Linked DNA regions of Macaca mulatta. The protein of the gene in region 1 purifies or fractionates together with the protein of each later gene. This does not show direct contact. Links are inferred from orthologs where the notes say so. Each region holds a gene or a part of one and is shown in the gene's direction. Other genes may lie near its edges.

Region 1 (5,129 bases):
GGGATTACAGGTGTGAGCCACAGTTCCAGCACTATTGAGCCCTTTAAATGTTGCAAGTACAAACTGAGATGTGCTGGGGGTGTAAAATGCATATTAGAGTTTGAAGACTTGGTATCCGAAAAAGTATGTAAAATATCTCAATAATTATATATTGATAACATGTCAAATAATATTTTGAATACATTACATTGAATAAAATATTACAGTAATTTCATGTTTCTTTTTTATTGTTTTAAATGTGGCTACTAGCATATTTTAAATTATGTATGTGGGCCAGGCACAGTGGCTCGCCTGTAATCCCAGCACTTTGGGAGGCCGAGATGGGTGGATCACCTGAGGTCAGGAGTTCAAGACCAGACTGGCCAACATGGCAAAACCCTGTCTCTACTGAAAATAAAAAATTGGCCGGGAATGGTGGCGGGCACCTGTAATTCCAGCTACTCGGGAGGCTGAGGCAGGAAAATCGCTTGAACCCAGGAGGCGGAGGTTGCAGTGAGCCGAGATCATGCCACTGCCCTTAAGCCTAGGTGACACGGTGAGACTCCATCTCAAACAAACAAACAAACAAAAAAACCCAGAACCCCTCTATGGTCTTGCCCACCTCCCCACTCACCGGCCCAGAGGTGACCTGACTGGGATTTCAAGGGATTCAACAGTATAATGCCCACCCTGCATTGTTGCCCTGTATGTTGGCTGGGTGAGGGGTAGGGGGGATACCTGCTGTGTTTATTTTGAAAACGCAAATCTTGGGGGTTTTATTTCTGGTTTTGGGGCTGGGTAGCCTCACAAGGGCACTTCCCCCTTCCCTCCTGGCACTAAGGGCAGTCACATCCTCACTGGAAGTAGTGGCTGGAGGTCCAGGGCATGACCCCTGACCCAGGGAGGATGAACCGGAAATTCAGTCTTGCAGAGCCCTCTGCACAGCACAGGAACTGGGCAAAATGTGGAGAAAAGGAAAGGTCATGGTTCCCACGTTGGCCACCCCTCTCAGGTGGGGCTGGGGTCTTCCCCTCCCCTTCACGTGCATTGGCCCACCAAGCCCCCCATCACCAGGCCGTCCCTTTTGCCACCCCCAAAAATTTGGGTCCGGGTGGCTGGGACTTCACTAGAAGGGGCGCTCCTGCCTTGCTGAACTGCAGCCCGCCCCCCAACTGCCCGCCCAGCCAGAGGCCACTTCTAACCTGGAGATACCGTATGCTATATGAAAGCTGCTTACTACCCACTGGCTTTTCAGTGCAGCCTTCAGCCCTCTTGTTCCAGGAGGCCTGGAAAACGGGCGGGGCTGGAAGGCATTTAGATAATTGGAAGATGGGCCTGGCGCTGTGGCTCATGCCTGCAATCCCAGCACTTTGGGAGGCCTAGGCAGGTGGATCACGACGTCAGGAGTTCGAGACCAGCCTGACCAATATGGTGAAACCCCGTCTTTACTAAAAATACAAAATCAGGTGTGGTGGCGTGCGCCTGTAGTCCCAGCTATTCGGGAGGCTGAGGCAGAAGAATCGCTTGAACCCGGGAGGCGGAGCTTGCAGTGAGCAGAGATCACCGAGTCACTCCAGCCGGGTTGACAGAGCGAGACTCCATCTCAAAAAAAAAAAAAAAAAAAAAAAAAAAGGAAAAAGAAAAAGATAATTGGAAGATGCTTGGCTTAAATGAATGACAAATTCAGCCTCTCTGGTCTGGTCATCAAAGAAACACCAATTAAATAATATGGTGCCATTGCCACCAAGTTAGCTAAGTCATCAATGGGCGTGATACTTAATTAACTTCTCTGGTTGCTGACACCCTCCTCGACCCCCAGCCGCGGAAATCCATGCCTAGTTCCACCATTCAGAGCCTCTACTGGGGCTGCCGCGAAAATTGGACTGGTTGGGGTAACATCTAACCTGGGGTCCCCCGAAAGCGCCCGTCAATTCCGCTTGGGGGCCCCACTGCCCTCCCACCTCCTAAGCTGGGCGCTCCGCCTGCGAATGACGTTTTGCTGCTGCTCAGCGCAGCCACTTGCGGGGGCGGGGAGGCTGCGGGGTCAGAGGCGCCTGGAGGGAGCGAATCCTGGCCCACCGCCTGCCCAACCGCGTGACCTTGAACGAATTAATGAACTTCACGCCTCAACGTCCAGGTCTGTAAAATGGGGTATCTAACGCAGACCGCACAGCCCAGCTGTGTTTAGCAAACTTCCGGGAGCCGGTTGGAGCCTCTCCCCGTCCCTAGCGGTGATACCAGGTGACGATATGCCGCGGGGGGTCCAGCGGAGGCCACCCTAGGGCGTTGCTGCTGCCTTTGGGAGTATGGAGCTCCAAACCATGTCGCGACAGGAGGATTTCGGGAGGCCTGGATCCTCGCGCCAGGGGGATGTGCGAGGGTATGGGATGATTCCTAATTCCTCCGGCCCACCCAAAGCCTAGATATCCAGCCTCCGCGCCTCTCGCCCTGAGGGCCCCGCCCTCAATCCCGCCCTCCTCTAACCCGCTACCCCATTGGTGGCGTCCGGCGGCGCGGCCGCTGTTATTTTTCGAATATATAAGGAGGTGGAAGTGGCAGCTGCAACTAGAGGCTTCCCAGGCTGGTGCCTGAGCCCTGCGTCCCTCGCCCCCGCCCTCCCCGCATCCCTCTCCTCCCTCGCGCCTAGCCCTGTGGCTCTTCCTCCCTCCCTCCCTTCCCCCCCTCACCCCCTCCGCGCCCGCTGCCTCCCTCGGCCCAGCCAGCTGTGCCGGCGTTTGTTGGCTGCCTTGCGCCCGGCCCTCCAGCCAGCTTTCTGCCGGCCCCGCAGCGATGGAGGTGCCCCAGCCGGAGCCCGCGCCAGGCTCGGCTCTCAGTCCAGCATGCGTGCGCGGTGGCGCCCAGCGTCCCGGCCACCTCCCGGGCCTCCTGCTGGGATCTCATGGCCTCCTGGTGTCTCCTGTGCGCGCGACCGCTTCCTCGCCGGTCACCACCCTCACCCAGACCATGCATGACCTCGCCGGGCTCGGCAGGTAGGACACCCCAAGGAGGCTGGATATGGGGGTGAGAGGCCCGGTCTGGAGTCCTGGGCCTCCTGGAGAACCGGGCATGGTATTCGAATCCAGGAGGTGGAGTCCGGGGGAGGCATCCTGGGCAGTGGAGAGGTACAGGACATGGGAGGTGAGACCTGGGCTGTGTCCCCCACACAGGTGACCTCCAGGTGACCTGCTCTCAGTCTACACAAGCCTCTCCAAGTCTTTCCCCTCACTCCCTCCTCCCTCATTGTGCCTCCACCACGCTGCCTCCCTAATCTCTGCCCAGATAGCCACCATTTTGCTCCAGGATGGGATTCCCAAGCCTGGAGAGGGAACTTGAGGGTGGCAGAGCCGTAGGGCACTCACACATCCATACCCCCGCTCCCTCCACCCCAATTCTGCCCCCAGAATTAAGGCAATTAATTAAACACTGATCCTGCTCCCTAAGTGCAAGGGGAGAGCTGGGTTGTTCCAGTAGGAGAACCTGGTCTTGGTCCATCCTTCAGGAAGAATCCTGGAAAGGTGGGGGTCTGACAGTTTAGGGGAAGGCTCTCCGGGGCGTCTCGGCTAGACCACCAACCCCTAGGCTGGTCTCCATCCAGGCCACCTTGCTCACACCCTGGGCTCACCTTCCCCTGCACCTGGGAGGACCTTTCCTAAACCAGTCAACAAAGAGAAGCCCCTTTAGGACCTCTGTAGAATGAACCTGCCTTGAGCTGAGAAGAGGGCCGGCCCTCAGGGCCATTGCTTTCCCGCTGTAGCATTTCGCTCAGTTCTTTTCTCAGTGAGGGAGTGGGAACGTGGGCTAGCGAGGCTTTGAACCCCACCTTTCTCCTTTCCCGGGTCCCTGCTCCTTTCCCAGCGAAACCCCAAAGAGTCAGGTAGGGACCCTGCTCTTCCGCAGCCACAGCCGCCTGACGCGCCTATCCCTGTCTCGACGGGCATCTGAATCCTCCCTGTCGTCAGATTCCTCCGAATCTTCTGATGCAGGTGAGGCCCAGGGGAGCCTGGGGAGATCTGCCAGTGCCAGGAGAGTTTGTGGGGGCTGCCTGGGCCTCTCGATTTCCCTGCGGATCAAACTAACATCCTCCCCACAACCTGGTGGGCCCAGGAGCCTTTCCCCCACCCTCCACAGAGATGGGAGGAAGACACACCTCATGTGGGGCTCACCACACCCAATGTGGACTGGCTGAGTGGATGAGAGGGTGGGGCCCTCTACGCTAGATGAGATCTTACCTGTGTAAAACCACACACCAAAGTTCTAAACCACAGCCCTACCTGGGAAGCACCCAGGGCTGAGTTGGTCTTGAGAACATTCTTAGTCTATAAACTCTTCTTTAAAAATCTGTTGTCTCTTCTAGAACAAATTGTTTGAAATCAGTTCAAGAAAAATGCTTAGCGAGCATTGTGGTTTAAAGACACATATAAAGAAATTTCCATAGTAAACAGGGAGTGGCATCCTGTACCATTTGGGAGACGATGTGTCAGCTCTCAGGGTCCATGATTGGGTTTTGTTTCATTTTCTAATGTGCCAAAGTCCAAACTAGAAACTTTTCTTTTTCTTTTTTTTTTCTTATTGGGACATGGTTGGGGAAAGTATACAGAAAGTGCCACTACTTTCAAACCAAGGTGCTCTGTCCCCTCAGGTCTCTGCATGGATTCCCCCAGCCCTGTGGACCCCCAGATGGCGGAGCAGACGTGAGTAGAGAAGGGAATGTCTACTACCAAGCAATCAGCACCTGCCTTTAAGAATCCTGGTTCTAGCATAAACTCACTGAGGAGGCCTGGGGAAACAGGCAGACCATGAGGTGGCTTCAGGATCCCCATGGCCGGGGGGCTCACTAACCTTCTCAGGCCTTGGGATTCTGCTCCCTGTCTCAGAGAAGGATCTGCTCTCATGGGAGCCAACCAAGAGTGGGCTCAGGGCCAGGGGTGGTGGGGACAGTGGCCATTGGGAGAGCAGATACTAGGCTACAGCCCATGTCTTGCAGGAATACAAGCCCAGCGTATGTCCCGTTTTTCTTTCTTGCCTATACCCTTTTTTTTTCTGTGAAATATTACAATTAAAAAAATATGATCCAGTTAATTCAGAACTTTAACTCACTCTAGGCCAAACAAAACACAGTTGCCTGCAGATTGATTTGGCTCTTGGCCAAT
Region 2 (4,974 bases), on another chromosome or scaffold:
TTTGGATTTTAAACATAAGTTTTAAAAGTGATTAGGCTCCAGCAGGAGTTCTTAAATTCCTGCCTATACCATGAATCCCAAATGCTCTGCCTCTATCACCTAGGAACAAAAATTATCAAGGTTGAGCCAGATGCAATGTATAATACCAGATGATAGATGCAGCTCATTGTGTTAAAAGGTATTAAACACTTAAATGCATGTGATATATTCTATATCACAAGGGTAAGGAAGTTCCATTCCATATTCTAATTTGGGTCTTCTAATACATACTTGTGGTGTATGTGGTAATCAATCTTTGTTCTATGTCCTATTAGGATCAATGCAACCAGAAATCCTTAAAATGGACTTTTATTATCTCTGGCTCTGTTTTACTGTTCTATTTGTTTATTTTAAAAAGATTTTAGAATGGTGTTTAGGTTGGGCTGGTGGCTCACACCTGTAATCCCAGCACTTTGGGAGGCCAAGGCAGGAGGATTGCTGGAGCCTAGGAGTTGGAGACCAGCTAGAGCAACATAAGGAGACACCGTCTCTGCAAACAAACAGGCAAAAAAAAAAAAAAAAAAAAAAAAAAAAAAAAAAGTAAGAAAGAGAGAAAGAAGGAAAGAACAAGAAAAAAATTAACTGCATTAAATGCAGAAATCTGTCTTAAGGATATTGTGGATGGCAATGAAGACAGAGTTTTTGACACTGGATTATTTAAAGCATAATTTAAACCTCTTTTTCTCCCCTCATAGAATTGTGAATTTTTGTGTTTTAATAATATTTAAGCTGGTCATGGTGGCGGGTGCCTGTAGTCACAGCTACGCTGGAGGCTGAGGCTGATTGCTTGAGCCCAGGAGTTGGAGGCCAGCATGCATAGCATAATGAAACCCAGGCTCTAAATACATGCCTCTCTCTATATATTTAAAATTCTGATGTGAAAATATTTTAAAATTTACATTTCAAATGTTTTTAATTGCATAATACACAAAATGTAAATAATAAAATAATTTAATATTAAATTCAAAAATGAGGTAGAAACAAAGCACAGCGATATAAATAATAAATCTTCCTTTACAGTTTTGAGACAGTCTTTTAAGTTTTCCATTACCTTCTTAAGGTCACTGAAAGGTGCTCCTTGGAGCCAGCCCGCAAATCACGCATTTAGAAAAACATAACTATACACTCCTAACCCTAAGTATTAGAAGTGAAAGTAATGGAATCTCGATGTAAACCCAATATCACTTTTTTGATGAGCTATTTTGAGGATAATAATTTTGAACTGTGCCAATGCTCAGAGAAAAAATTTAAAAGAAGAACGGAGCGAACAGTAGTTTCCTGCTCCGCTGACTAGAAACAGTAGGACGACACTCTCCCGGCTGGAGGAGAGCGCTTGCGCTCGCACTCAGTTGGCGCCCGCCCTCCTGCTTTTTCTCTAGCCGCCCTTTCCTCTTTCTTTCGCGCTCTAGACACCCGGGAAGGCCAGCCTAGCGTAGCTGGGCTCTGATTGGCTGCTTTGAAAGTCTACGTTCTACCCGATTGGTGGATCCGGGGTCCTTTAGCGCGGTGAGTTTGAAACTGCTCGCACTTGGCTTCAAAGCTGGCTCTTGGAAGTTGAGCGGAGAGTTACGCGGTTGTGGTAGCTGCCGCTGCGGCCGCCGCGGGATAATAAGCCGGGTACAGTGGCTGGGGTCAGGGTCGTGTCTAGCGGATGGCCCGGGGACCTCGAAGGGCGAGTATTGAAGAACGGGGTCCTCCTCTAAGAAGGCCGGACTGGAGAGCAGGGACCTGCGCGGAGCCAGGCTGGGCCTCGGGGTGGGGTGGGCAGGGCCTTTGCCTGGGCCTGGGCGTGTGAACCACACTGCGCCGGCTTTAGAGGGAGGCTATGGGAGCCCAGCCTGGCGGGGTTAGGCGGCGTGGGGGTGGGGGTGGGGGTTCGGGGCTGCAGTCGTGAGTTCAGGTCGGCTGTTTAGGAACTGCCTTAGGAGGCTTTCGGGTCTTGATTGAAGCAAAATCCGCTCCCCCACACTGAGCGCCAGCGGAGTGGCAGGCTCCTTCCTGGGCCCGGCCCCTGAGCGCCCTCCCATCCCGCCTCGGAGGTGGGAAAGCGGGACCGCACCTGGGCCAGGTACAGGCGCAGATTCCTAAAGCGAGGCTGCCCTGAGAAACCGATCCCGGAACTCGTGGGCCTTCTGGGGCTTGCTCTGCCCACGGCCCCGGCCCACCTGGAGCTGTTAAGAACACTCAGCCCAGGCACTTAACACTCATGAGCAGTGTAGTGCAGTTTTTTTCATTTAAAAAGATATATCTCTGCTTCTTTCTGGATTGATTTTTTTCTTTGAAGATGAATGTGGGAAATAGAACTTAAAGGTCTGTTCAGAGCGGGCTTTATAAATGATCTTATCATCAGTGATGGGTGTTAGAAAAATCTAGGTAATTATGCCTGGAGTTCTGACGTTTCATTGACAAACTTCAGAGGAAGTCTTGAACTTCTGGTTGTTTTTTGTTTTTTTTTTAAACCCATTCATTGTGATTCAGGTATACAGTTTTTCTGCTTAGTCCTTGACATTGTGTAGGCTATAATTAGAATTTTATCTGTGGAATTGCACTTTTCATTCTTTTGTTTTAGGGTGCTTAAGTGATATTTCCGACTCTTGGAAAAAGTACCTTGAAAGTCTTGAGCATGTTTGTGACCTCTGCAAGCAGAGGAAAAAAAGATTAAAATTGTCACGTGGGCAACTGGAAACGCTTAAAATGTTTTTGCCGCTTTAAACAAAATTTTCCTAATGAACAATCTGAACACATTTTAGTTCTCCCCTTATAACTATAAAAAATAGTGTTTTGAATAAAATTAGAAATATCATAAAGCGGTATAAATTTGTTGAAATATTTGGGTATAACTTTGGCACACTCAGATACTAGTGTCACAACAAGGGAACATAATTCTGGTTTTTCTTTGGAAAGAATAGACAAGTTGATATCTGAATTTGAGGGTTATTTTGATTGGAAGAAGCTAAATAAATACTACACTAGTATAGAATATACACGTTTCCAATGTCTCAGGAGTCCAGAAGGATGGAAAGTTATTGTAGGAGTCCTTACCCTTGTAAATATTGTTTGAATGTAGTTAATATTTATGGAATACTTATGTACTGCAGTAGGCACAGTGGAAAATGCTTTACATATAGTGTAATGCTAAAAACTACTCAAGTTAGTGGCATGTAATTAAGTCAGTTTTTCCTTCATTTTAGGATCTGCCATACCCATTGACTAACTATGGAAGATTATACCAAAATAGAGAAAATTGGAGAAGGTGAGTGGTTTTAGTAATATAAATTTTTGGGGATGATTTAACAATGCTACAACTTCTGTAATATGAACACATGTAAATATTTATTAAAATTCAACCATTAAGATGTCTTGTAGTACCAGTGTGCATTAATATATGTTCTTTACTTAATAAACGCAAATTTGTTCACATTTCAAGAGAATTGAAATTACTGAATCCCTAATGACCCATCCCTTCACCCCCATAGTCTTACAGTCTTCTGATACTAAAGAAGTATCAGAAATACTTGTATTTTGAAGACACTATTGATGACTTGCACATGTGTTGAGGGGCAGAGGTTAGGGATGCAGAATTATGCTAATTTCATAGTCTATTTTTAGTCTCTTTCAATTATTTTTAGGATGATAAATATTCTTATCCAGCCTTTATAGACTGGTTACAATAATTGACTTAATCTAATTTAAATAAAATTTCTATTTAGTTACCGTAAGAAAAAAATGACCTGTCATATGTACATGTTTAAGCTATTCTAAAACTATAACTTACGTATATAATCATTCCCTTTCTGTGGTACTTGAAGGAATGATCAGATCTATATATGGCACAAATGAGGGGTATATCCCTTCGCCTGTTCCTTGACTCCAACAGAACATTCTCAATTCTCCAGGTACAAAATAATTTGCTAGTAGAATCCAGTTTATATCGGTTCTGCCAGAAGGAAATTCACAACTATATTTTTAATGTGATCAAAGACCTCACTTGACAAGAAATAGTAAAAAAACAAGGGGGGAATACTGGAGGGAATTTAGTGAAATAGGAATGACAAGTTAGTGTGGTGTTCGATTGGAGGGGTGTGTGTGTGTATTTATTTTTATTTTTAAACAAATTAAATACCTCATACCCATTCTACTAAACACATTTTGCTGCTGAATTAAAAATAATGTGATTAGTATGTCTAATGCTTTGTAGTATGTTTCTTAAATTCCCAGGGAATTTGTGTTGATTTCAGTTTGGCATAAAAAGAGACCTTCTTAAAGTATAAATATATTTTTCTTTAAGATGATAGAACTCCAAACCTATAGGAAACTACAGATTTGACTTCTGAGAAAAGTACTTTAATTGCTACCATAAATAAGAGCAGTTAAGAATGTAATTTTAAATGTAATCCATTACATGTATTAAGTCATATGACTCCCATTCTTTATTTCTATAAGTGTGACAGTGGTAAACCCTCTAACTTTTCTGGATCTCGGTTTCTGCCTCTGCAAATGGTGATAATTGGACTTAACACGAAAGATACGATTCAATTGAACAATATTATGGAAAGCATTTGTTTGAGTGCTTTAACTCAGAAAACCTTCAAATGTATATCATTTGAACATTGTGTTATTACTATGAACACTGTCTCCAAAACTGTCTCTTTACCAGCCTCATCTAATGCCACTCAACTCTAATTCGGATTTCTTTGATGTCCTCAAATGTATCCTGTGATTTGGCCTATGAGTTTTGGCAATGGCTGTTCTTTCTACCTGGAGGCCAGTCTCTACTGGCTTCATTTTTTATCTCCTCCTCTAGTCCAAGAGCATTTTGTAGTTCCCTTTGCATCATGCTTAATAGCCATTTTAATTATTATACCATAGTATCCTTGAGGGCTGGGGTTTTTGTCTTGTTCACAACTGTTTGCCCACTGCCTGTCAGTAGTGCCC
Region 3 (4,329 bases), on another chromosome or scaffold:
CCACCCCTGCTTGAAGCACGCCTGGTATCCTCTCCTGGACTCAGTGCTTCCGTACCACTGCTTCTGCCAGAGATCATGTCTCAGCCTCAGAGGCCTGAGTCTTTTCCCCTCTGCCCTGTGTGAACTTGTCCTCTTAGGAGATGAGGGTTACAGAAAAGCCATGATGTGGAAGTGCTGCCCCCAAATCCCTGGACATACAAAGCAGTTGGGAGACCCTGGCTTTGTCCATAAAGCAGCTGAGTAAAGAAGTGGATGTGGTGATTGATGAGGCATCATGACTTACCCAGTTTGCAGTGGATAAATAATAGACTCAGAGGTCTGCCAGAGGTCAACAAGAACTGTAAGCTTGGAACCATTCTCAGTTCTTCAGCCAACAAGGCTCCTTCTTCCTTTTATCTCAGACTCAATACAAAATCTGCTTTCTTGAGGAATTGTCTTTTGCCATCAGCATGAGCCTGCAGACACCGTCCCTGAATACCTGACTGCTAAATACACCTAAACTCGAGCAGAGCCAGAATTAGCCACCTTTTCTGAAACCATCTCAGCACTTCTCAACAAATAAAGAAATTGCTTTTTAGGGGCACCTTTTAATCATGCCCTTAGGTTCATTAAGAATGGACCCTGTCTTAGTCTATTTGTGTTGCTATAAATGAATACCCGAGGCTGGGTAATTTATAAAAGAAAAGGGGTTTATTTGACTCATGGTTCTGCAGGCTCTGCAAGAAGCATGGTACCAGCATCTGCTTCTGATGAAGGCTTCGAGCTACTTCTCCTCATGGCAGAAGGCAAAGGCGAGCCAGTGTATGCAGATTACATGTGAGAGAGAAGCAAGAGAGAGGGCGGAGCTGCTAGGCTCTTGTCAACAGCCAGTTCTCTCAGAACTAAGAGTGAACTCCCTCCTATGAGAATGGCACCAAGTCATTCGTGAGGGATCCACCGCCATGACCCAGACACCTCCTGTCAGTCCCCACTTCCAACCCTGAGGATCAGTTTCAACATGAGATTTGGTAGAGTCAGACAAACCATATCCAAGCCATTGCAGACCCAGACAGAACTCAGATGCCAGAATCATTTCCTGGCTGTCTCCGTAATTAAGCATCATGCTTTTTCTCTTCTCTCCTAGGGTGTGGGATGTGAACACGGGTGAAGTTCTTAACACATTGATCCACCACAATGAGGCCGTACTGCACTTACGCTTCAGCAATGGACTGATGGTGACGTGTTCCAAGGACCGCTCCATTGCTGTGTGGGACATGGCTTCTGCGACCGATATCACTTTACGCCGTGTCCTGGTTGGCCACCGGGCTGCTGTCAATGTAGTAGACTTTGACGACAAGTACATTGTGTCCGCCTCTGGTGACAGGACCATCAAAGTAAGTATGTCTGCAGTCATAACCCAGCCTCCTCCTGTCCCTTTTAGAACAGAGAGAAAGCAGAGGTGGCTTATACCAACCTGGTACCTGGTAAGATCTTTATTCTCCTCTGTGCTTAGTGTAATGTTTTCAAGGTTCATCCATGTGCTTTGTAGCATCTATCAGCTTTGTCCCATTTTTGTTGTTGTTGTTGTTGTTGTTGTTTTAAGTACAGATGGGGTCTTGCTATATTGCCCAGACTAGTCTTGAACTCCTGGGCTCAAGCATTCCTCGGCCTTCCAAAGTGTTGGGATTAGAAGCATGAGCCACCACACCCAGCCAGTACTTTGTTGTTTCCAGTGGCTGAATAACATTTCATTGTTCTTCTGTTTATTAGTTGATAGACATTTTAGTTGTTTCTATTTTTTCGGCTATTACAGATGATGCTGCTATAAATATTAGTGTAGAAGTTTTCATGTTTTTAATTTTCTTAGGATGGTAACCCTCTGTTTAACTTTTTTTTTTTTTTTGAAGACAGATCTAACTCTGTCACCCAGGCTGGAGTGCAGTGACACAGTCATGGTTCACTTCAGCCTTGACCTCCTGGGCTCAAGCCGTCCCTCAGCTCAGGGACCCCTGAGGCTCCCACCTAAGCCTCCTGGCGTAGCTGGGAGTACAGGCACTACCAGGCCCGCCCCCCTGCCCATTTTTTTTTTGTAGAGACCAGGTCTCACTTTGTTGCCCAGGCTTGTGGAACTGCCAAAGTGTTTTCCAAAGGCACTGCACCGTTTTACAGTCCTGCCAGTGGTATGTGGGGGTTTCAGCTTGCGCAAAGAACATCCTTTTCATGACCAGCACTGGAAAGCATTCTTACACCTAGCCCCACAAATCACAAAGTGTGTAGCATCAGGCTTTAGACTGGATAGTTGGGAAGCTAAACAACTAGGATTTATATGTGGCAACTTACTCCCACAGTCACACCAATTGGTATGAGACCAGTGCCTGAAAGTTGAGAGGGTCTGAGCTTTATTACAAAACAGCTGTTTCATAATACCAGCATGGAGGATTTCTCCATATCCTCGCCAACACTTGCTGTTATTTGTCTCTTTTCTTTTATCTGCCCTAGTGAGTGTGCAATGGTATCTCTGGTTTTGCTTTGCATTCCCTTATTACTGATGATGCTGAACAACTTGTTGTATGCTTATTGACCATTTGTGTACTTTCTCTGGAGAAATGTCTATAAATCCTTTGCCCACTTTAAAAATTGATAATTTGTCTTTTTATTGTTGAGTTATAAGTTCTTTATATATTCTGGACACAAGCCCCTTATGAGATACATGATTTGAAAATATTTTCTCCCTTTCTGTAGGTTGCCTTTTCACTTTTTTGATGGTATCCTTTGATGCACAAATGATTTTAATTTTGATGATGTTCAATTTATCAAGACGTGCCTAGGTCCTTGATCCATTTTGAGTTAGATTTTTGTTTAAGGTATGAGGTAGATGTCCAATGCCATTCTTTTACATGTGGAGATATATTTATCTATCCCATTCAGCTGCAAATGCAGCTGTTAAGATAATTCAGGGCACTCTGGTTGCTGTGTGTCTCCTTATTTGTCTAATAATACATTGAGATGTCTATGAACATCTAAGTCTTTCAGATGATATCACAAAAGAGGGGATTATTTATTCTACATACATACAATTAGAAGTAATGTGTCAAAACAAATGGAGCTGTTCAAGAAAATATGCTGGAAAAGAGGATTATATGAAAGATGAAACTTTTTGTTTGTTTTTTGAGACAAAGTCTCGCTTTGTCACCCAAGCTGGAGTACAGTGGCACAAACACGGCTCACTGCAGCCTCAACCTGCTGGGCTCAAGTGATCTTTGCACCTCAGCCCCCTAAATAGCTGGGACCACAGATGTACACTACCACGCCCAGCTAGTTTTATTTTTTGTAGTGATGAGGTTTTACTACGTTGCCCAGGCTGGTCTCAAACTCCTGAGCTCAAGCAATTCTCCCGCCTCAGCCTCCCGAAATGCTAGGATTAGGTGTGAGCCACTGTACCCAGCTGGAAGCTTTTTTATTACATTAGCTTCATTGGGTTTGACATGTCAGCTGGTGTAAAAACATAAAATCTGGCCCAAACTCTTTCCTCCAGGTAAATGAATATCCAAACCATCTAGGAGATGTTCTCTTTGTAAAGATCTCAACGACTGGAGACTTCACTTCCCTCCGTGTTTCATTCCAGTGTTATTACTCAGCAGCCAAAGAAAATGTTATGCTGTCTAGTCTGCCCTCTAGCCTCCCAACTTTGAGTTAGAGGACACTGTATTTTATAATCACATATTTGGGTCATTCTCAGAAGCTGTCTTTTTAAGAAAGGTATATTGTGGGAGGACTTTTCCACATTCATTCTTTAAAATATTGTTAATTTGTTATACAGGTCTGGAGCACGAGCACCTGTGAATTTGTCCGTACTCTCAATGGGCACAAGCGAGGCATTGCCTGTCTCCAGTACAGGGATCGGCTGGTTGTTAGTGGATCATCAGATAATACCATTAGGTGGGTAGAAGTTGGTGTGCTGACAGAGCAGGCTGATTCTTGCCACGTTGTTGACTCATCTCCTAGTTCTAATGCTCAAAACAACTCAGAGTAAATGGGATGTTTCAGATAAGAAAGCTTTAGGTAACTTTTAGAAATGTATTTGGCTCTGTATACTCAAGTGGGAAAACCGTGTATGCCCTGGGTGGTCTTCCAGTGTTCCCCCAGTACATAAAGTTTTTTAACCTCAACTCCACCCAGGATCACTTAATATCAGAGCACTTCAGAACAGACTAGGGTGCTGCAGCCCAACTCGCTCTGACTTCCCTCACCTGTAAGCTCCCAGCTCCCTACCTAATACATGGGAGTGTACTTTATTTTTCTCTCCCAAGACTGCATTATGGAATCATCCATTCCTGCCGGGATCGTTTA

What was found.
Region 2: the proteins of CDC25B (region 1) and CDK1 purify together in Homo sapiens (affinity purification with western blotting; 4 studies listed by BioGRID). This does not show direct contact. The link is inferred for Macaca mulatta from reciprocal best matches to the Homo sapiens genes CDC25B and CDK1.
Region 3: the proteins of CDC25B (region 1) and FBXW11 purify together in Homo sapiens (affinity purification with mass spectrometry; 14 studies listed by BioGRID and IntAct, counting the BioPlex papers as one, with this or other methods). This does not show direct contact. The link is inferred for Macaca mulatta from reciprocal best matches to the Homo sapiens genes CDC25B and FBXW11.

Annotation. Positions count from the first base shown.
Region 1 is NC_133415.1:80,271,036-80,276,164, reverse strand, and holds the start of CDC25B (M-phase inducer phosphatase 2), read left to right. Parts: upstream 1-1,977; 5' UTR 1,978-2,091; coding exon 2,092-2,116; exon of another isoform or gene 2,117-2,349; coding exon of another isoform or gene 2,350-2,359; intron 2,360-2,546; exon of another isoform or gene 2,547-2,767; coding exon 2,768-2,969; intron 2,970-3,834; coding exon 3,835-3,962; intron 3,963-4,618; coding exon 4,619-4,670; intron 4,671-5,129. UniProt on the Homo sapiens protein: Tyrosine protein phosphatase which functions as a dosage-dependent inducer of mitotic progression. Directly dephosphorylates CDK1 and stimulates its kinase activity.
Region 2 is NC_133414.1:89,038,588-89,043,561, reverse strand, and holds the start of CDK1 (cyclin-dependent kinase 1), read left to right. Parts: upstream 1-1,640; 5' UTR 1,641-1,656; intron 1,657-1,688; exon of another isoform or gene 1,689-1,711; intron 1,712-3,230; 5' UTR 3,231-3,255; coding exon 3,256-3,292; intron 3,293-4,974. UniProt on the Homo sapiens protein: Plays a key role in the control of the eukaryotic cell cycle by modulating the centrosome cycle as well as mitotic onset; promotes G2-M transition via association with multiple interphase cyclins.
Region 3 is NC_133411.1:180,721,562-180,725,890, reverse strand, and holds part of FBXW11 (F-box/WD repeat-containing protein 11), read left to right. Parts: intron 1-1,123; coding exon 1,124-1,373; intron 1,374-3,799; coding exon 3,800-3,918; intron 3,919-4,329.